Linked DNA regions of Neurospora crassa OR74A. The protein of the gene in region 1 purifies or fractionates together with the protein of each later gene. This does not show direct contact. Links are inferred from orthologs where the notes say so. Each region holds a gene or a part of one and is shown on either strand. Other genes may lie near its edges.

The links.
Region 2: the proteins of NCU04508 (region 1) and set-2 purify together in Saccharomyces cerevisiae (affinity purification with mass spectrometry; 3 studies listed by BioGRID). This does not show direct contact. The link is inferred for Neurospora crassa OR74A from reciprocal best matches to the Saccharomyces cerevisiae genes RPC10 and SET2.

The regions. Positions count from the first base shown.
Region 1 is NC_026504.1:3,137,337-3,149,302, forward strand, and holds NCU04508 (hypothetical protein), read left to right. Parts: upstream 1-4,778; 5' UTR 4,779-5,109; coding exon 5,110-5,312; intron 5,313-5,399; coding exon 5,400-5,424; 3' UTR 5,425-5,868; downstream 5,869-11,966. Other genes in the region: NCU04511 (bud site selection protein 7), read left to right, coding at 1-750, 816-1,355; gcy-3 (aldose reductase), read left to right, coding at 2,151-2,242, 2,322-2,808, 2,884-3,285; NCU04509 (HIT domain-containing protein), read right to left, coding at 3,445-4,149; NCU04507 (ATP binding protein), read right to left, coding at 6,015-7,141, 7,217-7,289; NCU04506 (hypothetical protein), read left to right, coding at 8,807-10,075; NCU04505 (cell cycle control protein cwf19), read left to right, coding at 11,256-11,966. UniProt on the Saccharomyces cerevisiae protein: DNA-dependent RNA polymerases catalyze the transcription of DNA into RNA using the four ribonucleoside triphosphates as substrates.
Region 2 is NC_026503.1:3,235,490-3,246,624, forward strand, and holds set-2 (histone-lysine N-methyltransferase), read left to right. Parts: upstream 1-983; 5' UTR 984-1,709; coding exon 1,710-2,121; intron 2,122-2,234; coding exon 2,235-3,835; intron 3,836-3,900; coding exon 3,901-4,752; 3' UTR 4,753-5,495; downstream 5,496-11,135. Other genes in the region: NCU00270 (hypothetical protein), read right to left, coding at 7,211-7,882, 8,006-8,545; NCU00271 (hypothetical protein), read left to right, coding at 9,680-9,889, 9,973-9,982, 10,271-10,467. UniProt on the Saccharomyces cerevisiae protein: Histone methyltransferase that trimethylates histone H3 'Lys-36' forming H3K36me3. Involved in transcription elongation as well as in transcription repression.

The DNA.
Region 1 (11,966 bases):
CTCAAGGAATCGCCCATGGATTACGTTATGCTTGATACCCAGGCCGAATTCCTTCTCAAAAAGGCCGAAACTGCCCCAACGCCAGAGCTGAGGGAGGAAAGACTACGCATGGCTCTGGGCTGTGCAGACCGAAGTACGATAGCCGCTCCTAGTGAGTTCGGCACGTGGGCAAGACTGGCCCAGGTCTATGTTGCAATGGAGGATTGGGAGAATGCCTTGACCATCCTCAACTCGTGTCCCATGTTCACATACCAGGACAAGGATGCGCCTGTCATGCCAGAACCCAAAGACGTTAACCTACCGACCCTCCCAGAGACCAGGTTGGACGAAATCGACAGCGAGCCAGATTCGAGGTTTTCGGAGCAGGTCGACCCAAGTTTGCTTGGTCTTCGCGCCGCTGCGTATCGGGGAACGTTCAAGCAGGCATACAGCATTCTCACCGAGATGACTGCCAAGATTGGCTGGGATCAACTTCTCAAGATCAGAAGCAACGTTTTTGTTATGGAAGACGAGTATCGAAACGAGAAGCAGGAGCCCTCTTACCCTGCCAAGCGCAATGCTAGCACCGATGCGCTGCGTGGAAGCCCGGATCATACTACGAACGGCGAAACCGCTCCCAAGGAGGCTGCCGAAACTGACGAGGTTGAGGACGAAAAGAAGAATGCTACTTTGGCTGCTGAGCAAACGGAAGGCCTGGAGAGACCTCCTAGCGCTATCGACCCAGAGGTAGTCCGCAAGGCCGAAGAAAACGTACGTCTCCAAGCCGATGCTTCCCTTTGGCAGTTTACTATGGACACGATGCTAACACATGATAGGGTGATAACGAGGATCACTTCTCGCGCCTCAACAACAAGCGTCTATGTGAACGGTGGTTAGACAGCTTGTTCATGGTTCTTTACGAAGATCTTCGCGTATATACCATTTGGCGCACCCAGATGGCTCAGTACAGAGCGCAGAGTATGCAGTACAAAAAGTCGGCGGAAGAGTGGGAGATTCTCGGCAGTCTCGCAGAACGCCTACAGCATACGGACGAAGCGGTTGAGGCATACCGGGCGTGCTTGGGTCAACGCTTCAGCCCCAAGGCGCTCACCGGTATTCTCAAGGTGTTTGAGAAGCAAAAGAGCACACGCGAGAGTGTCGCCGCTCTCATCAGGTTGGTAACTTGGCAGTATCGGTGGTACAGCGAATTCTCACCCGAGCTACTACATACCATCCGGACACTCATCGAGGACGAGGGTGCTGTGAAGGTCAGGAGTATCATCCAGGCGACCAACCTGCCACAGAACGTGCTGGACTTGACGCATCACTATGCGGCGTTGTGTGCTACTTTCCGCAGCAGCGGGACCGACGGCTAGGTTGCTGGGGTTTGATATTGGGGTGCTGTTGATGAAGTGATGGCTGAGAGACGACCATGGCCGTTTACATGGTATGGACGTATACATGATGCCTATGCGTATGGAGAGCAGTCGCGGAGTTGTTCGTATGATAGCGAGTTTTATCATTAATAGAGAATTTGAGCGGCCTGATGAGATATGATAAGCATTGAAAGTTCCAGTTGATGCTATCTAGACTCCTAAGTATAGAGTCTTAGGTCTGTGGACTGTCGAGTGGCGGGAAGACCCCGGCTTATAGCGATCCCCGTTTTGACTCCGGGGCGATTCCCAGCCCCGGTCATCGGGCCGGGCTACCCGTCCTTCCCGTCTTAGCTATGACGGGACCTGCGCCAGTTGTCCCCAATCCGCTCCACAGAGCGGCGTCCCCCCACCATTTGGAGTTTGGCCCCCCAGTTTGCGCTCCGACCTTGGAACCTGCAGGAACTTGGAACTTGCATAAAGCTAGGTTGCTCTTCTTTGTTATCCCCGGAGGTGCGGGGCTATGGTACCTTATGGTTGCCATCAACGTCATCACATATGTAGAAGCGTGGGATAGAGAGCCACAATCCGTCAAAGGCAGTTCGTACAGTAATACAAACAGGCACCAGAATGATGGAGAAGATTACATTGGAACGGATAGGAATCGGCTCTCCACCGTTCGTGGGAGGAGAAAGTGGGGGTTGACTAAGAGATGGGGCTCCAAGCCTTATAAATCATGTTGAACTGCCCTTCCAGTCGTCGTTGATTCTCAATCATTCAAACTTTCTGTTGTCTTTCATGTTGCCTGTCTCACGCGCAATTCCCAGAATACCAAACATCACAAACACCGCCAGATATTTCTTCAGTAAAACAAACACCATGGCTCCTCTGTAAGTACCTTTACTTTGGGGATGAAGTGCCAGGAGAAACCCCTAGAAGAAGCTCACCCGAGCTTACAACTGTCAACAGCAGCAAGACTCACAAGCTCAACACGGGCGACGAGATCCCCGCCGTTGGCCTCGGAACCTGGCAGTCCAAGCCTGGTCAGGTCGAGAAGGCCGTCGAGGCCGCCCTACGTGCCGGCTATACTCACATCGACACCGCGTATGCCTACGGCAACGAGAAGGAGGTTGGCCAAGGCATCAAGGCCTCCGGCGTCCCACGCGAGAAGATCTGGCTCACCACCAAGCTGGACAACGACTGGCACAAGCATGTCGCCGAGGCTATCGATACGTCGCTCAAGAACCTGGACACCCCCTACGTTGACCTCTACCTGATGCACTGGCCCGCCAGTCTTGTCAAGGGGAACACCAAGGAGGTGTACAACGACTGGGACTTTGTGGACACCTGGCGCGAGATGCAGAAGCTGGTTGACACCGGCAAGGTCAAGAACATTGGTGTCAGCAACTTTGGCGTCAAGAACCTGGAGAAGCTTTTGAGCGCCGAGAGCACCAAGGTAAGCAAGATTGTGCTCCTCCTCCTCTTCAAGTTTTGTTGTGAATTGATGAGGACCTCACACATATAATTACAGATTGTTCCCGCCGTTAACCAGATCGAACTTCATCCTGGTAACCCGTCCCCCCACCTTGTCGAGTATCTGCGCTCGAAGGGCATTCATGCTTCGGCCTATTCGCCCCTCGGTAGCAGCGACTCGCCGCTTTACAAGCTTAACAGCCTCACCAAGCTCGCCGAGTCCAAGGGCAAGACTGTGCAGCAGGTTCTCCTTAGATGGGGTGTCCAGAAGGGCTGGAGTGTGCTGCCTAAGAGCGTCACTGAGGAGCGTATCAAGGCCAACATTGATCTCGAGGGCTGGAGCTTGACCGATGAGGAGATTGCTCAGATTGATGAGGTTCACAAGGAGAACAGCTTCAAGGTCTGCGGCGATGACTGGTTGCCTGTCAAGATCTTCTTCGGTGCTGGCGACAGCGACTAAGCGTCGTACACCGTGCAGCCAAGAGGATGCTGGCAAGATATTCCCCCCATAGATGAACAATAATGAATAATGACACCAGAAAATGCTCGCTCGAGATTAATGACTGGCTATGCTCCGTGACCACACATCTGTGACATCCGTTCCGACCAACCCCGCTCCCTACAGCTTCGCTTTCTCCCTTAGCCCCCTCTCCCCCTCCTCCTCCTCCTCCCTAACCACCTCCGTGACAAACCCTCTCACCCTCCTCGCCAACTCCTCCCCCTCGTCCTCATCCAAATCCTCCCTTTTCCCCCTCCCAAACATGGTACTCGTAAATCTCTCAGCCTCCCTCAGCCCTGGCCTGGGAATGATATGAAAATGCATATGCTCAACAACCTGCGCCGCGGCCGACCCGTTGTTCTGGACCACGTTCCAGTCTTTGATTCCCGTCGCCCGCGTCACTGCTTCCGAGAGGATCCGTAGGTAACGCCCCAATTCGGCGGCTTCATCGGGAAGAACGTCGGTGAGTTTGGCGGCGTGCCGACGGGGGCAGAGTAAGAGATGGCCTGGGGAGAGGGGCATGATGTCGAGGAAGGCGATCAGGAGGGGGGTGGAGAGGAGGAGGAAGGTTTGTGGTTGTGGGGAGGTGGAGGTGGAGGGGGGGAAGGGAGAAGGGGGGGTGGTAGGGGGGTAGGGGGGGAAGGTCGAGGAGATGTGGCAGAAGGGACAGTTGGGTTGGGTATCGGAGGAGGATGAGGATGAGGTGTTAGTGGCGCCGGCGCCTGTCTTGGAGGCGGGAAGGCTGGGGTCGAAAGTGTTGGCGTCGGGGACGATGGAGCGTGGAACTGGTGTTGCTGGTGGCTTCTTGTCGGTTGAAGAGGCCATGGCTGCAGTCTGGCGTATGACGTAGTGATGTGTTTGAACGATTGTATATGTCGAAGAGCCCCGAGTTAAACTTGAACTGAAGAAATACTCAAGGGAAATCTCGACAAGGGCTAGGAGTGAAGCTGATCTCGCTATGTAATGATGCCGAGAATGATTGTTTGCTGAGTACGCCCCGTAACCAAGGACCAATGCGACAGAATGTCAAACAAATAATCAAGAAGAACGCCTTGCTCCGTGACAAATCCGAAAAGGAAACACCACTAATGACTCTTGTATGATGATTTCTAGCTGATGACTAAATAGTAGCTCAGTGAAGTACGGGACGAGAGGTCCGGGGCGGCATCTGAAAAGACCCCAAAGCCAAACACAAGTGAAGCACCGGGCCCGTTCCCCGTCCCTGTCTTACCTCCGCTTGCCGGCGGGCATCGACCCGGTGGTGTGCAGTGGTGAGGCGCCAGGGCTGCCGCGAACAACCTCGGCCTCCAAACTCCGCCGAAAACGTGGGGGAATTGCCTGCCGCGCTGACAGCTACCCACAGAAGAGTGGAGAATTTATCATGATATGACAGGGGTAACTTGCATTCGCAAAGTCCGAACGCCGCCTGCTTCTGTCACCCTTTGTCAAAGTCTGGAACTTTCTGCCTCAGCGTCCCGCCTTTTTTTACCTTTCGTTGTTCGCGTCCAGTTGAAACTCAGTCGCCTGTATAGGTAGCGCTCCGTCCCTCTCGTCCGTCGCAAACCACTCCACCGGTAAATATTCAACATCATCATCATCATCAACCGAACGACATCATCGTCGCATATCGCTATAAATCGCATAACATCGATTTGTCGTCGCCTCAACACAAAGACAATCTTACACGTTGCATAACCGTCATCCAATTTATCCGAGCAAACCCGACGACAAACAAACCCAAACCACAAATACCACACCACCCTCAACACAACACAAACAACCAAGATGTCTTCCCGCGAGCAATACCAGGTCCCCAACTCCCAGGGCTTCACCACCGGTGCCTCTAACAACGACGGCAACAGCGGTGGCAGCAGCGTCATGTGGTACACTTGCGGCGACTGCGCGGTCCGCGTGCCGCTCGAGAAGGGCGCTCCTATCCGTTGCCAGAAGTGCGGTGCGCGTGTTTTGTATAAGGAGCGCACCAAGAGGTACGTTTTCTTTGGGCTTACCCGGTGGAAGATTCTGAGAAGGTGGGAGAGAAAAATCTTATGCTAACGACGGTCTGGGGGTAATAGAATGGTTCAGTTCGAGGCTCGGTAAATGGTTTCTTATTCGACTTTGTTCGACTTGGGGCCAACAAAGGAGGTGTAGAAAGGGGTCGCTCTTCCTCGATGCCGTATCGGGCTGAAGTTTTCATCGTATTTGGACCGGCCGGGATGTCCTGATGCCCAAGGACGGGAGCCGAGTCAGCCTTGGAGGCAACGGGAACATTTGTCGAGGGGAGCTGGGACCGTAGGAGACTCGAACCGTCGATATCTTGGTGTGATTTTGCACCATTAGCGGTGGCTTAGCATGGCCCAGCCTTGAACCTACGGCTTGTTGTGATCAGAAGAAGGGAGATATCATATTCATCACAATATCATGATGGCGGCGTTCTGGGAAATATCGGTAGACTTGTGGGAATTTATACAAAGAAAGCATTGCTTTTCATCATCGTCATCATCACCTATCACCATCAGATGGATCCGTTCTGTGATGCTTCTCATTATTGATCATGTTTTTTGCCATATAGAATATTGGTATGGTATCACTCTGAAAACGCCGGTTGTATGCTAAATCTCCTTCCCTCTCGATCACTTGTCTTGCCAACACTGCTCCATAAATCCTTTCCTTACCAATGGCCAATCTCATCACCTCTGGCTGTGGAGGTACTTTGCAAAACTTGCGTCGGCCAAAACCGAATCATCCTCGCCCTGCATGGCAGCGGCGTACCTCGCCTGCAATCCCTCGCGGTCATACTCGTCGTTGGGATCGTCACCATATTCCTCGTCGCTGCTCTCCTCGTCCGTGCTCAACGGCTCGGGGGCCTCTTTATCATTGACGTCACCCACTGTGACGTCGCCCGCCGCGTCGCCCATCGACATTCCCTTCATCATTTTGTTGAGTTCCCTCTCCCGCGCCTTCTTCTTGTTCTCCTCCCTTTCTTCGCGCCTCCTCTCGAGCTCAGGCTGGTAATCGCGCTTGAACTCCTCTGCCTTCTCCTGAACCGCGGCAAAGAACTCGTCAATGCCCGTCCCGTACAGCGAACTGACGCCCACCACGTTCAGATGTGCGTAAAACTCCTCCAACATCAGACTCATGCTGTTCAACAGCGAGCCCATGTATCCGCTGCCCGAGCCCATGCCATCGCCGCTGCCCTCCGCTCCGCCAAACGCGTTGTTGGTCTCGTCCTCCTGCAGCGCAGCCTGGAACGCATCATAGTCGGTCATCCACTCCTTTGCAAAAGCCGGGTCCTTAACGTCCGACTTGTTGAAGACCAGAATCATGGGCAGCTTGGTCTTGTAAAGGATACTGCAGGCGTACAGCATGTTGCTCATGAAGGTCGACGTCGAGCTCGTCCGGGGGGTGTCGATGATGTAGGCGATGACGGTGGGGAAGGATGAGGCGAGCGACTCAAGGAGAATCTGGCCCGACGCGGACCAGACGAACACCTCGATCTGGCCCGGCGTGTCGACGAGAATGTGCTTGATGGGCGTGTGCGTCGGGTCGTCGGGCTTGGGCGCCGTGCGCTTCTCGAGCAGGCCGAGAACCTGGTCGACTTTGGTGGCAAAGAGGTTCAGCGATGTGAGAATGCCGCCGTTGGGGCCGAGGTTGTACTGCTTCATCACCTCCTTGTAGTTGACCGAGTCGCGGATGTCAATGTTGCTCTCGAAGGGCGAGTGGGTGACTGCTGGGTCGAGGTTGATGACATAAGGAGGCTCCTTCTTTCCGTGGAGATGGGCATTGATCTGTTGCATAAAGGTTGTCTTGCCGGATCCTGGGGAACATGGTCAGCTGGATGATTCCGCTTGCGGTTGGGAAAAGCACAGAACATGAGCATGCGTAGACCTACCTGCCATGCCAACGCAGACGATGGCAACAGGCTGGTCAGCCTTGGCGGCAGACGATGCCGAAGTCGAAGCCATGGTGCGACAGCTGTGCACGGGTGCGTGGAAGATCGTTTGGTGATCTCTGTGTTATCTGTCGGATAAAATCAAAGTTGTTGCAGATTTCAGTTTGCGCAGAGATGGTGTTGTAATGAGTCTCGGGAAGAAAGTTTCACGGATGTCGTAAGCGGCGGGGTCACTGCTGTAGGGATGGTCATAGGTGGTTGCGACGGAGTGAATGTCCGAGGGCCACAGAGGGGCAACACCGCAAGAGAAAAAAAAAAACAAAAAAAAACCAAAGTCCATTGATCGCCTGGCGTAGCGGGCGGAAAGGTTCCATCCATCAAGGCATGGGTGGGGTGAAGGGTAGGTAAGGCTTGGCATTTTGTTTTCCCCAAAGTGAAATGACTGAAACCTCGACATTGGTCTCTTTTCATCCTCTCACCCATTCATCTTCCAACTACCTACGCCTTCATGTTCCTCGACATCCAATCCATATCTGGCCGGCTCGCATCTCATCCATCATCTTTTTACCAATTTGGAACTAAATCAGTTGGCGACCTATACCCTGTTATCATGCCTATATCAAAAGCCCATATGGCCTGCTTGACAGCTTCTTGTTTTCAGCCGAGCCGCTGTTAATCCGCGAATACCACAGCCCTCAACCGCCGCAGTAGCTAGTCGACACTCGACCTAGTAACTTGGCGGTCCCGCTCTTCAAGTTATACCCCGGTATTATGGGTGCCTGGATATTTTAGGATCTCAACGGCTGGATGGCATAGCACTTGCCGCGGGCAGACAAGCCCCGAAGGCTTCATCGACCTCACAGGCTATTGTTCAATGAAGTCTGTCCACTTGTCCAGTTTCAACTAATCCTTTCACGCCTAGCAATGAAGCCGGATACGGATGCTTTTTGGACAATTCGGGGAGTCGTCGAGTGGCAATTTGATACTGCTGAACGAGACCGGGATAAGCGATGGGAGAAAAGGCGTCTCACGTCATCTTCGGAAAAGGTCAGGAACTATAGGCAGGATGCTGGCGGGGGCGATTCACCAATGCCAATGACCGCTAAACCCATGCTAAGCGTATGGTCGGTGGTCCCGCGCTGGGGAGTGGGCGCAGCCGGTGGCCTCTTATTGCGTCAAAATTCTCTTCAAAATGGTGGGTGATGGGAGCTGGGTTGGTCCAATAAGCCACAAACGTAATGGCAAGATCCGTCTGTTCGGCACTACCAGGAGGCAGCGTGGCCGGGAACCAAGCGGCCATCCACAGGCTGCCCCTCATGATACTCAGCCCTACCAACCTACCTCTACCACGTTCTATCCATTATACTCCAAGCTGACCCCCAAGATCCGTTTGAATTCTCTCCCTCCCACTTCCTCTCTTGTTTCGTCTCTCGTCCCACACCAGGGCCAGATTCATCATCCGACTTGGGCCAAATTCCAGCGACTCATCAAATCCAGGCTTCGGAGATCGGCTACTATACCCTGCCCACACCTCTATAGAGGTGAATAAACTTTCATTTATCGGTGTTACATATCTACCCACAGCATCCAATGTCCACCATGTTGCGCAAGAAGGAAGCCTTCACCGTTATCACGCCCATCCCGGGCTTCATTCCACGACAGTTGGCCATCGACATCCTTCATTCTCATTCTGAAGTCATTACTCTTAACCCTCTTGTCCTCGACCACAAGCCCATCGCGGCCCCCCAGGATGCAGAAACAGACGAGTATTATGCGACATGGTATGAGATCACCGAACGAGTCACGATTCTGCCTGGAATTGGGAGGATGGGGGCTACAACCATCAAGTTCAATGGCTGCTTTCACGACATGCCGTGGGGTCTTCAGACTCACATATACGCCCCCATGAACGTTGACCTTCGCAACACCTATCGCATCGCCGGTAATCAACCAAACTTTGAGCCTCCAGAGCCACTTGAGATGGGGTTATCAGCTCTTGGGGCACCGTCGGATGGGTTATATCTCCGTGAGGATATTGAGATCAAGTGCAGTCGCACTGTCATGAGCTTTGTCAAGTCGCAAATGAAGAAGGCGGGTGGGGAAATGGTGAGACGCATCATCAAGAAGGCTGAGTTACTGGATGCTGGCGTGCTTCAGGCTATGATCGAGGACGGAAAGCTGAAGACGTTCAACCCGGCCGACAAGAGGAATACAGTCCGACGACCGGCGGTGGCTTCTCCGGGCCCTCAGTTTTCGCCCACATTTGCCAGCTCATCGGCCTCTGGTACACCACCTCAGTCTCCCGGTATTCCCTACCAGATCCCGCGACCGCTATCTGCTACTCCCAGTCAACACCGGTCAAGTACTCCTGGATCCTACCACCGTCCTAACAGCTACGGAAAGGCACCAGCTGCTTTCGGCTATGGAACCCCGAATGGACCACAGGAGCTGTCTGTCACCAACCCTGAACCGGTCTCAAATGGTCCGATTGAGATGCCAGGCGACTTCTACCACGCCCCATCAAACCTTCAGCCTCAATCTCTGTCATCCTCCAACCGAAATTCCAGTCAGTCATACTCGTCCGACCGGCCACAAGCAAGCCCGAACCCATCATTACGCAGCGGGTTCCCGTCTCCCGCTTTGGACAAGAATTTTGGACTACAGACTCACCAGGAAACGTCCGAGGAGCACAGGGAGGAGGCTTTGAAGAAATTAGACCCGCGTATCCCGCATCCGTCTCACTACGCTCCGTATAATCCAGCGGATTACGGTCCCGTGGACCCGTTGAAAGTTCCCGGCAACCAGTATGGACACAGTCCACAGGCTCAGCAGCTGTATAAGAACACATACACAAGGTGATGGAACAGGAACGAATTTAACAGGTTTTTTTTTTTCATTTTTTTTTTCCAATGTGGCTTGACATTGGATGATAGACAGGCAGGTGGCTATATCTTGTTTTTTTTACTTGGTTCTTCAAATACCCATTCGCTTTTTTCTTTGCTATAATATGTGTACAGACTTTTGACTTTATGTGATGATGAAGACTTGGACGGGAAAAAGAGGAGTTAGCGTGCTGGTTCATTGTCAAGGCACTTGAAGGTTCGATAAGATCAATGTAATTCTTCACTTTGCAGGCGCCAAGTTGAGAGAGCATTGTCCCGTAGGCCTAACCAAATATCCTCTGCAGCACTTCCAGGCAGCAAGACTTAAATTAGTGTCACACCCATTCATCACAGTATGTGCGTGATGTGCTATGGTGGAATATCAAATGCAACTGCATACTTGACTGCCAAACATTCTCTTGCTAAAGTTACTCTTCCTCTTCTCTCCCGAACGCAATCATTGTACCGATGGTTGTTAAGAATCGAAATCGAGATGATTCTTGAGCCTATATCAACTCGGAAGACGGGTGTATAAAGATGATCTGGGAGCATTATCATAGTTGGCAGCACAAAGACTGGACTTTCGATTCTTCCTATCCATCGGAGGGTTATCAGTCATCAACACTCTGAAAACTGCAAACGGCTTTCCGTGCAGCTAAGCTTAGGCTTCGTTTGAATATCTTCCCGTTGATATCACATAAAGTGTGCCAGCGGCTACCGTTTTGCTGCTGTGTCGTACAGTCAGTGGTGAGGGTGGCTCAAGACATTACACATCTAGTACCGGTGGTAAACGGTAGAAGTCTAAAAGTGAAATGACCAAGCTATGCAACAGGATGTTGATAACGTTGACGTATAGTAAGAGGACCACTACCGTGGCCATGTGGATAATCTCATGCATCTTTACCTCAATAAAAGGTTCAATGCTTGTTGGGTAGATGGTTATCGTGGGATCAGATCGAAGTGAGGTTGCTGATAAAGATATGGAATGGAATATTACCTCTTGCGGTTAGTGTAAGCAGCAATTGGCGCTTTTGAGTATCCCGCTAAAATACGTCACTCCACTGCAGCATCCTCCATAAACCATCAACCGATCAAACTTGTCATGCAGTAGCCTCGACTGAACAACAACCGATTGCCCACAATCGGAATCTGCCAACATGGACAGCTTGGAAGACTTTGAGAAGCAGCTCGCTGCGGAAAGGGAGGAGCGCGAGCGCGCAAAGGAAAAGGAACAACGGCGCAAGCACAAACATCATCATCATCATCGCCGCGACAGATCATCAGACCGCGACCGCGACCGAGCTGGGAATAGGGACAAGGATACAGAGAGAGACAAAGACAGACACAGAGATAGGGACAGTGACCGCCACCGATCACATCGATCTCGAGACGACCACGACGAGGAAGATGACAAGGATGGACACCGACACAAGCGATCGCGCCATTCGCGTCACGACGACCACCACGAAGAGGAATCGCGGCACCGGCACAGACACAGGGATCGGTCGGGTGATAGGTACAGTGAAAGGGACAGGGAGCATAGAAGTGACCGCAGGCGTAGCACTAAGGACACGAAAGACCTCAAACCGACAGACGCCAAAGAGGACCTCCCCTTGCCGGACGAGGAGAAGGCCCCAATGGACGTGGACAAACCAGCGCTTGTTCGCGACTCTTGGATGACAGCACCATCTGCGATAGATGTCGATTACGTTCAACGAGGCAGGAAGAGGAGCCCATCGCCCAAAAAGGAAGAGCCGAAACGGGTACTACACGCGAGGGAGGTTAATAGGGGATTAGCCGAGATGGAAAACTGGTCCATGCCGGTTGAGCGAGGTGTTGAGAGAGGGCAGGAACCTCCACGGAAGCGA
Region 2 (11,135 bases), on another chromosome or scaffold:
AACGACGTTGCACACAAAGACAAGCCCGGCGGGTCCCTGACATATGAGATCAGATACAGCATATATCGAAGCCAGAAACCGTCAGAGACACTACATCCGCCGCAGTACCTTTTCCTAAAGGCAATGTATAAAGCTTGAAAAGTAACCAGTGCTTTATCAAGAGCGCCACGCAATTGCAGCAGTTTCGCATTCCGATGGAAGAGGGGGCACGATATGTGGTTGTTGTTCCACAGATGGCGATGGCCGCACAGGTTGGGACGGAAACGCCAGTACAATGCAGACCCTTTGGGCTCATATAGGTTGTCGGACGTCATCGGTGTTGAGACGTGAAATGACATGGAGGGTTGGGTTTAGCATATCCGGAACCTAGATCCTAAGCTTCCCCATCCGGATATCCCCAGACTCCCGCTTTGCTCGAGGCATTCTCTCTCTCCATCACGAGTCCACAGTGGACGAGACACTTGACACCAAGGCCGCCCAATTCCGGACCGTTCGCAATCTTAATTGAATCTGAAGACAAGCCTTCACCCATGTCGAATGGCTGAAAAAATCGCTGCCCAAGGCCGATACTTCCAACGGCAATGTCCATTGATGTGATGAAGTGATGAACTTTTTGCTGGTCGAATGGGAATTCCATGCCATTGCGCCGCCAATTGATGGTGGGGTCAGCATAGCCTTGCCAGCTGCCGAATGCCAATTGGTTTTCAGCTGCCGGGCCGTCGTGGGCTGCCGAGGCTGCCAAAAGCGAAACGCAGAAGTCTGTAGTCTGCGGCAGGCAAGACCAATGAGCACCGGCACAGTGCCGGACAGACCAGCCAAGGTGGACAAGCTCACGGTGGCACGGCCTCAGCTGGATTGCCTGCCACAAGCCGACTCCAGTGGACTGGACTTTTGAATGGCGATCTCTTTGACCATGCGCCGATACCAATTGGCAGTAGCGCCAGACGCCGCGAACGAACAATTCCCATTGCTACGCTCGTCCCCAGACTCTCAGAATTCTGACTGCAACTGGCACAACGCCGAGAAACAGCGACTCCCTCTCTGGTTCGGACCTGCGCGTCGTCTGCCCCAAACAGCTCCCTCTTGCGTCCACCGTCGTCGCCGACCCATCGATTCTCTCTTTGCCCCGGGCCATTATCCAACAGTCAACAACTGAATAATTGCTTCAGCCCATCTGAAGCGTGGCAGTTCGTCGCCTCCAACCCTCTCAGCATCCGAGTCGCCAGCCAGCGGTCCAGTCGCAGTTGAGCATGCTGTCGCAAAGATCAAGGAGCCAAGACAAGAACACCGCAACGGCAACGGAAGAATAACGGCACCAGCGACCGGCATCCTTTTCCTTCCCTTCCTCTCCAACGAAAGCACCACGAAGCACCACACGCTTTGCTTTAGCCGACTACACAGGTACTCGGCCACATCAACTTGCATCATTCTGCCGCTGAGACGAGACGTCACCTTCTTTTCAGCCCGTCGCTCGCTCCACTCTCACCTTCTCATGACCTTTGCGCCTAATCCTACCGACTCCGCCGACCGTCTCCTTTTCCCTAGGTTGCCTCCTCGATCTGCACCTTCTTAGTTTTTTCCTCGACTGCGACCTTCGTACAGCAAACGTGCGCCAAGTGCCCTCGACACACAGACACACAACCGAACCATTACTCACAGTCCCTTATTCGGGTGCGCGCAGGGCGACCCCAGCTGCTGCTGCATCCACCATGGAGGACGGCCATCACTCACCGGATTCGACCAAGGAATCAAAGTCGGAGGAACACTCCAAGATGAACGGCTCCAAGCTAAAACGGGATGGCGCCAGCAACGCCGGCAATGCGGCCACGCCAAACGGCTCCCAGACCGGAATCTCGAGACCCCCAAGCATGTCGCCCGACGAGCACAAGGCTGCGAGTGAGAGCACAGCAACTCCCAGCGAAAATGTCCCGACACAAAAGCCTTCGCGAAAGGCGTCTCAGAAGAACATGAAGAGGGAACCGGTGCTCTTCAACCATCTCCCCGACGTGAGGGAAGAGGCATGCACACATTTCCAGGTCATTCATGACTGTCTCTATGGCTCAAAGAACATGGGTGCATCCGAGCACGATGCGTTGGATTGTGACTGTGCGGAAGAATGGCGTAAGTGAAAATATCTTCGGCGTCCCCTTGCCGCTAGCGTCATGTCCCCTCCGGCCCGCCCGCCCGCCGACACCCCCCCTTAACCGAATACTGACACCTGGCTCATCGTATAGGCGGTGATATGAACCATGCGTGCGGGGAAGATTCAGACTGTATTAATCGGGCCACGAAAATGGAGTGCGTTGACGGCGATTGCAACTGTGGTAGCGGATGCCAGAACCAGCGCTTTCAGCGAAAACAGTACGCCGACGTATCGGTCATCAAGACGGAAAAGAAGGGGTTCGGCCTCCGGGCAAACACGGATTTGCAAGTTAACGACTTCATTTTCGAGTACATTGGCGAGGTCATCAACGAGCCGACATTTCGCAGCCGCATGGTCAAATACGACAAGGAGGGCATCAAGCACTTCTATTTCATGTCACTAACCAAATCCGAGTTTGTTGATGCCACTAAGAAGGGCAACCTCGGCAGGTTCTGCAACCATTCGTGCGATCCTAATTGCTACGTCGACAAGTGGGTGGTTGGTGACAAGCTGCGCATGGGCATTTTTGCGGGGCGCGCAATCAAGGCTGGTGAGGAACTGGTGTTCAACTACAACGTGGACCGCTATGGCGCCGACCCGCAGCCTTGCTACTGCGGTGAACCAAACTGCACCGGTTTCATTGGCGGCAAAACGCAAACAGAGCGTGCAACCAAACTGCCGCCTGCCACCATCGAGGCGCTTGGTATCGAAGATGGAGACAGCTGGGACACGGCGGTGGCGGCCACCGTCAAGAAGCCCCGCAAGAAGAAGGCTACCGAGGACGATGAAGAGTACATCAACCGCTTCGAGCCTCGTGGCCTCGATGAAGAGGGTGTCACCAAGGTCATGGCCACGCTCATGCAGTGCAAGGAGAAATGGATTGCCGTCAAGCTGCTCGGCCGCCTTCAGAATGCCGACGATGACCATGTCCGGAACCGGGTTGTTAAGATGCACGGATACCAGATTTTGAAGACAACCCTCAACACCTTTAAGGAAGACACCAATGTCGTACTGCAGATTCTCGATATCCTGTACCAACTCCCCCGCATCACCAAGAACAAGATTACCGATTCCAACATCGAAGCCGCCGTCGAGCCCCTCACCCATTCCGACCATGAGGATGTCGCGTCGCAGTCCAAACGATTGCTTCAGGAATGGAGCAAATTGGAGACAGCCTATCGCATCCCGCGCAAGAAGCTCGACCCCTCCGCTCCCGTAACCACAAATTCGTTTGAGGATGACCGCCGCAACGTCAATCATGAGGAGCATCCCTCAAGACCTGTCAATCCGTTCGAGAACATGGTTGTGCCCACGGGTCCCCGCAGCAACATTCCCCAACGGAACATGAACTACTTCAACAACCAGAGACCACGCAAGCTTCCAACGAATCTTCCTGCAGGATGGTTTGTCACCACTGACAGCACAGGCAAATACTACTTTTACGACAAGAGCGGCCATACCCAGTGGCAGCGACCTACAACGCCTGCTGTCGACGTGCCCAAGCCCTCTGCCAAGGTGGAACAAAACCAAAAGGCTCTGCAGGATATCATCGACAGTTTGACCAAGGAGCCGACGCCCCGCCATTCTGCGAACCAAACCCCTAAATCTAACACACCCGTGCCAGACAATGGTAAGAAGGAGAAGTGGAGGTCTCTTCCGGTTGAGAAACAGATGAAGATTTACGAAAACACGGTATGTCCAATCCCGGAAGCCAACTGCCCCTCCTATTGCGGTGACGCTAAACAAAGTACTTTCAGCTCTTTCCTCATGTGAAATACGTCATGGACAAGTTTCACCGAAGACTTCCCAAGGAAGACCTCAAGCGGTTTGGCCGTGAGATCAACAAGAAACTGGTTGCTTCCGACTACAAGAACCACCGTGTCGATGACCCTACGACCATTTCCTCCAACCAGGCAAGGAAGATCAAGAAATTTGTCAAGGACTTCTTTGATCGTGCTGTGGTCAAGCACAGGGAAAACGAGCAGCGCGCTGCACAGAAAGCCGGGCCATCATCTTCCGGCGCCCCATCGCCTACCAACGGCGGTTCAGCCAAGTCACCACTTGGCCGTAACGGCGCCAGCAATGCCACCGTCAAGACCCAGCAGCCCGACGCCGATGGCGATATTGTCCTTACAGACGTGGAGGATGAGGGCGAGAATACTCCTGCCACCTCCAGCTCAGACCGCAAGAGGAAGCGTGCGGAAGAGCAAGAGGTTCCGGCGCCGGCATCCGAAGCGATACCTTCACCGAAGCGAGCCAAGGAGGACTCGACAACCGAAGACTCGATCCCCAGCCCTCCGCCCCCTCCGCCGCCGCCGACAGATACTCCACTCACCGAAGAGGAGCGATCAATGCGCGAGCAAGAGGAGGCCTTAATGAGGGAGAACGAAGAAGCGCAGAGGCTGGAGGACGAGGAGGCCGAGCGCCGGGTGAGTGTTACTGTTCAGGGAGCGGCTGTCGCGACCAGCAAGGTGAACGGAGTAAATGGGACCAAGGCCCACCATACCTCAGAGGCATCACCTGCTGTTTCCGATGAGAATGGGATGGACGCTGGTCGTGATGAGAAGAGTCATGAGCAAATGGCACAACAGGAGCCCGTCAGTCGTTAGCTATCTTTTATAAGTTCTTTTTCTTTCCTTTTTTTTTTTTTTATCTTTCTTCTTTCTTTCTTCTTCCGGGTGTGTGGAAAAGAGTCCAATGGTTGTTGAAAGCAAATCATGGACAGAGAGGCACAGTTCAAGGGAAATGCTTGAATGGCTCTTTCCTTATCGGTTCGTTGCATGAAAAGGTTACCGCCTAACCGCCCTGGAATCATTGTTGGCTGGTTGGCATTAGAAAAGTGGTTGGTTTGGTGGGTACTCGTTTATCCGGTTCATGTTGGTGGGTCGGTTGGTCGGTTGGTCATATATCCAAAATCGGTCGGTACACGGTCCAAAGGGTTGATGGTTTCCTGAGTTATCATTCTCAGCACGTCTAATGTCCGAGGAAAGGTGGACGAACAGACAGACAGGCATGGACTCTTGTTATTGCTTTCCTACGATGTTCCACTTTCATCAGCAACAAGTTTATCTTTATATTCAGGTCTAGATCGATGACGGATTGGGTGATGGATGTGCCGGTGCTGGGGACAATTCGACAGTCATCAACATATAGGCGGTAGGCTACTATAATTGGTGGACGAGGGGTACCAGTATTGCTGGCTGACTTTTCAGTCATGGACACACACGCACCTGCCCCCTTGTATTGCCTTGGAGGAATTTTTTTTATTGGTAGAGAACGCAATACCGCATTTTGACAACGGACGTGGTCGTGATGGTGGTGGCGACACTGCTGGTGGTGGTGGCGGTGGTGGTGGTGGATTGACACACACACACACACACAAATGATAGCAGATACATCCATCCTCGCTACATCCCAAACGGCCGGGCAGCTTCTGGCAGCTGATCGCTGGAGGAGCTGGTGTTGAAAAAAAGTATATCTACAGGAACCATGATACAGGTGGACTTCACAGTGAAGATATCTGCCAATAGCAGACGTGTGGCTACAGTGGACCTGGGTGGCAGATGCCTACTTGGTTGCTTGTTTCAAACTCATACAGAGCTCCCTCTTTGTCTCACCAACTCCTTTCCCTCTCCCTTTTTCTTTTCTTTTCTTTTCTTTTTCGTTGCTCTCTTTCTCTTTCTCTTTTTAAGGCGTTAGGTCTCAAAAACAAAATGGGAATCGGAGATATGGAAAAAGCATTAATCGGCAACGGCGTTTATTATTATTTTTTTATTATTATTTTTTTTATTTTTTTTGGGAAGTACCCGGAGTGAGATGAGAAACAAAGGCGTTCGTTCGCGTTTTTGATCTTGCCTATATATGTACACAGTAGTAGTTCCTTGTGGAAATCTATCGCATGGCATTGTTGTTTTCATCACTTGCGGTTTGGGTTTCTCATGGTATTCATTGTTATTGTTTTGCTCTTCATTAGGGGCAAGCAAGCGAGCCAGCAAGCAAGCAAGCAAAGTGGTAAACAGGCAGCCGGACTGGAACTGGACAGACGGGCGAGTGCAAACTGGTGCGAAAAGGCACATGGCAGAAGATAAGTAGGAAAGAGATAAAAGACATAGTGGGAAACTTGGACTCCGTTTGGCGAACTGGGGGGATATAATAAGCTAGAGAGAGAGGGAGACATCGATACGCTTGCCATTTCGTTGTACTCACGGCGATTGGGGATGTGATGTGGGTTGAACGAGGGAATATACCGCTGTTTGATAACATGGAATCTAGAAAATATTCTCTCATGAGTAGAACGTATTTGACAACAATGTTATTGGGTGGATACGGGAATTTTCGGGGGACAGTCTGATCATAGCGGTGAAGTCTTTTCGCTCGCTCGCTCGCTCGTGCTTGTAAGCATGAGCTCTGCGAAGATCTCGGTGGATCTTCGTCTACTTATTCACGTAAACACAAGTTTCAAACGTACTCGGCTCTTATGCATATCCGACGAGGCAACACGACCAAGTAATGGAACGTGAAAATTGCAGACCGTGAATCAAGAGCGTTTTGACTGGCAGGTTGTTCAACTAATCTGTAATTGGCTATATGTTTCCCAGAGAAGGTAGATGGTGATCATCCAAGAGGTTGCTAATATTGGAATATATCCATGCAAGAAAAAGAAAAGGGTATCTATCAAGCGCCGTCTCCTCAGGTCGTTAAAAAAAGGTATATCCAAGAACCAGAACCAAATTACCAGAGAAAAGTCAAAAGCCGCGACCAAAAACCGGGTCGTTTTTCCGTCAATCTTTATCTTTCCCACTCCTTTGCTGGCTTTCGACGCTGCTGCTGCTGCTGCTGCTGCTGCTGTAGCACCGTAGTGTAGCCTCCTAATCCTATCCCATCCGGTCCAGATCCAGAGTATCATGCCCTTCCTCCCCTCATATGTACCTATATATATACCGTTGATTATCATTAGACAAAAAGCCATTAAGTGTTGTTGTGTTTGGTTCCGTCTCGACGAGCATTACCTGCCTGCCCTCTTCGAAACGATCAGAGCAGCTCCATCATTTCAATTCTCATATCATATCATATCAACCACACCAACCCCGCCACCACCGTCGTCAAAACCGGCACCACCACCACCCCCAGCTTCCTTGACCCCAATGTGACTGCTGCACCACCGCCGCTCGTTGACGACGACACTATCTCCTCGGGCAATGTCTCATTAGCAAACCCCACGCCACAAACCACATTCACCATCTTGGCTGCCTGCACATAAACTCCCGCCACGGGCTGCTTGCGGTCGGCGGCAGCCGCATGATAGACCTGCATCGTCTCCCTCAGACACCCATCGCAGGTCGGCACCGTCGACCCGGGCAAACTGACATTCAGCGCCAGGTGATAGACATAGACGGAGCTAGGGTTGGTAAAGTTCATGACGGCGTTTGCGTAGCAGTATCCTTCGACTACTTCTGAAGAAGAAGAAGAAGAAGAGGAGGAGGAGGAGGTGGTGGTGGTGGTGTCTTTCAGACAGGTAGCCGAGCGAACGGGGGCGTAGGCGATCATGGCGACGTACGCGTCGCGGACGACGGTGTGGCCGGCGCGGAACTCGGCGCCGCAGTTGGCGTCCGAGATCAGGTCGGAGGCGAGCGAGGAGAGGTAGGAGGTGCAGAAGTTGGCGTTGGGAGAGCACGAGGCGTCGAGGACGCGGGTGAGCGAGACGAGGGAGCGTTGGGCTTGGAAGAAGGATTGGGAGCCCTGCGCGAAGGGGAAGGAAGGGATGTTAGTTATTGTATGATATGGATAATAGGAGAAGAGAAGGACAACAACAACAAGAACAACAACAACAACAACAACAAAAGCGGGGAACGTGGTACACACCTGCATCAATAACGAGATGGGGTAGCACTGGTTGAAAGTCTGGTTGTTGAGAAAAGAGTTGAGAAAAGCCGGGCAGTTGCTGTTGGGACCAAAGTTGGCGGATAAACTGCCGTCAAAGAACTTGGGTAGGGAGCTCGATACGGCGGCGGTCTCTTCGGCCCGGGCGGCGGTGAAAGTGGAAGTAGTACCCGTGGGTTTCTCGGTGACGGTAGAGACGGCGATTTGGAAGGTGGTTGTCACGGAGCCGGATGCCACGGAGGTGATTTCCTTTTCCTCACGCTTCCTCAACCCTCCATGCTTCAACTCCGCCTCCTCCGGTGATAGCAAGATCCATTCTCCTTCATCGATGGTTGGTGGTTCTGAGGTGTCGATATCCAACGGTGCATTATTGAAGTCGATGGAGTCGCTCAAGTCATCCTTGATTTCGATAGCCAGCGCCCGCGCTGTTACCTGGCTGACAAGGCAAAGCAGGACGACTAGGGTGACGACAACCCATTGAGTCTTTTGTGAAGAACGGGAGGTAAACGAGTACATGATCATGTCACGGCTGTAACAGAGTGTCGTAGCAGTTGGTGGTACATTACTCTGTGGAACAACACAGATGTCGAGTTGTAGGCTATGTAAAAACGAAGGACTGAAAATTTCCTGATCGGCCGGGTCAGACAGACAGATCGGTGTTAGGGCGCGTATGTCTCGGTATGGTTTAGTCGATCTCCCTTCGTATGTTGATGACCAGGACGGGGGGGTTAAGCGATGAGAGCAGCGAGCGAGCAAGGGAAGCGCAAGTGGGGATGTCTTTCCCGTCTTTATATCACTGCAGCGGTCCAGTTCCTCGTAGGGAGACCGGGGAGTGATGGGTGATAAATGGCGCCGGCCCAACAAGGCGGGATGGGGGTGAGGAGGAGGAGGAGGAGGAGCTAACAATCCAATGTTGGCATCTGTCTGGTCCAGTCCAAAGGCAGCGTCCCGTGGGCTCTACTTAGAAGAAAGGCCCAAGGGCGGGCGGGATCAGGGAAATGGTCCGATATGGGTAGGCGGGTAAATATAAGACGAGGAACAGAACAATGGGACACCAATGGGGACGAAGAACCGGTGCAATGCCGACGGTGGTTGCAGAAGCAGTGCAGAAAAAAAAAAGGGCGTAAGGTCTGCGGGTGTTCTGGCCAGAATGGAAGCTGGGGGCGAGCGGAGTGCGGACACTTGGTTCGCCCGGATGGATGGTTGGCTCGGCTGCGGAGATGAATAATGGTGTTGAGAGCAGGGCAGAGCCATGTACCCTGTCCTGTCTGTTGTTGTCCACCACGTTGAGAGATATTATAGAGGGAGAAGAGAAATGGCTCGAAGGAAAACAACTGAAAGAGGGCTGAGAGGGTTGGAAGAGGAAATTAAACAAAAAAGGCAGTCGGACAAGTGCTAATGTTCCCATTGGGGGTGGCACTACACTAGTGCTGTGCGTAAAAGCTGCTACTGTAAAAGATCTGGGTCAGGGGTAAAGTGGCAGAGAGGCCAGCCCCAATGCTTCTTTGTTGACGGTGGTGTGGTGTTTTTTTTGAGGCGTTGTGGCTGTCTTGTTGTGTCCCTCTGTGCCGTCCTCGAGCTTCGACAACCTTCTCTCTTCACTAGTTCGTTCCAAGACGTTGAATAAGCCGACCATGGTGGATGCTAAGCCCGGTGATGGCCTCGAGGGTGTTTTACTCGAGAACGGACCTCGATGTTGAGACAAGCAGAGTGGGATCTCTGTCTCGTACCTTGGAGATGCATGCGGAGTGGAGCAGGGGTGTGGACGACGAGGATGGTCAACAGGGGTCCCGAAAGAGGCCATCACCAACGAACGGGACGAGAGCTTGGACCGCTGGGCTTGGTTACACCGATGCAAGCAAGTGGGTAGGCGAGAAGCGTGGTGATCAATTATTGAATGGCGCATTTTATGTATAACAAAAGGTACGTACACTACATTATATGTATAGGCTGTACCATGTACGTGTAGGTATACATCGATACAGCGTATATAATGCAGGGGACCTGTCTTGCGCATCTCTGTCGCTGTTGCTGCTGGCTGCGCATTGGCTCGGGTACATGAAGCCGACTTTGTGCATTTTATTGCTTCCATCAGCCTTCCATACCTAGCTCTCATTGGGTGAACTCGGTGGACCAATCAAATTTGCTAAAGAGAGGAAAGAAGTCGTAAACGGTTAATGACAATTATTGATGGTGGTTGATTGTGGTGGTTTGGTGGCGTTTGGGTGGCTCTCTTTCAGCCTCCAGATGAGCGCAAGCGACGGGAGGAACGTACGAAAGAAAAGGTTGGGAACAAGTCCCACAACTTCAGTTGTCATCTCATTGGACGAAGCGATGAAAGCCAAAGACGGACGACGGCCCATTCAGCGTGCGTGCGTGCGTGCGTGGAAGTGGTACCTGGTAGGGTTCAGCATCGCATCAACTGGATGATGAACCCGATTTAGATCAGACGCAGGTACAAGCCATCGATGTTCAGTTGACTTCCAGATCGGTGGTTGAGGGGGGCCAAAGATGGAAGAAAAGGCCACCACCTCACTGGCGACCGCAAACCCCAAAGCAGGTACGAGGTGGCACATAAGCGAGATTTGGCTTTTCATCAGCACCTGCTGCCAAGCGAGTGCGTCCGTGCGTGTAAACAAATCGATTTTGTAAGCGAATCCGTCTCCCATCACTGTCGTCGAAGCAATCAATCATCAACACACTTGCTTCGTTGGCCTCGGACTTTTCCCAATTGCACCCCGGCGGATGCCCACAGCGAATAAATACAGTCTTCCATCCGAGGGGGAAATTCTCTCCCAAGTGGAAGCTTCCCATCAGTCCTTCTAGCTCCGTCTGCTGTGTACCTCACACCTTGCCACGTTCGGGTGTTTTCAAGTTCGAGTCCTGTGCTTGCACGACATTATTGGTGCGACAGGACATCTGTCTGATTTTTTTTTTTTTTTTTTTTTTTTTTTTTTTTTTTTTTTTTTGACAAGCCACGGCTTCCTTGTTCTTCCCTTCTTAACATTCCGACTTTGACAGTCGTCTGAAAACGATCCTTCGCACAACAGAGAAACAAAAGACGGAAAAAAGTCTAGACCACCCTCAGCCTCCATTGTAGATCCGGCCGGTT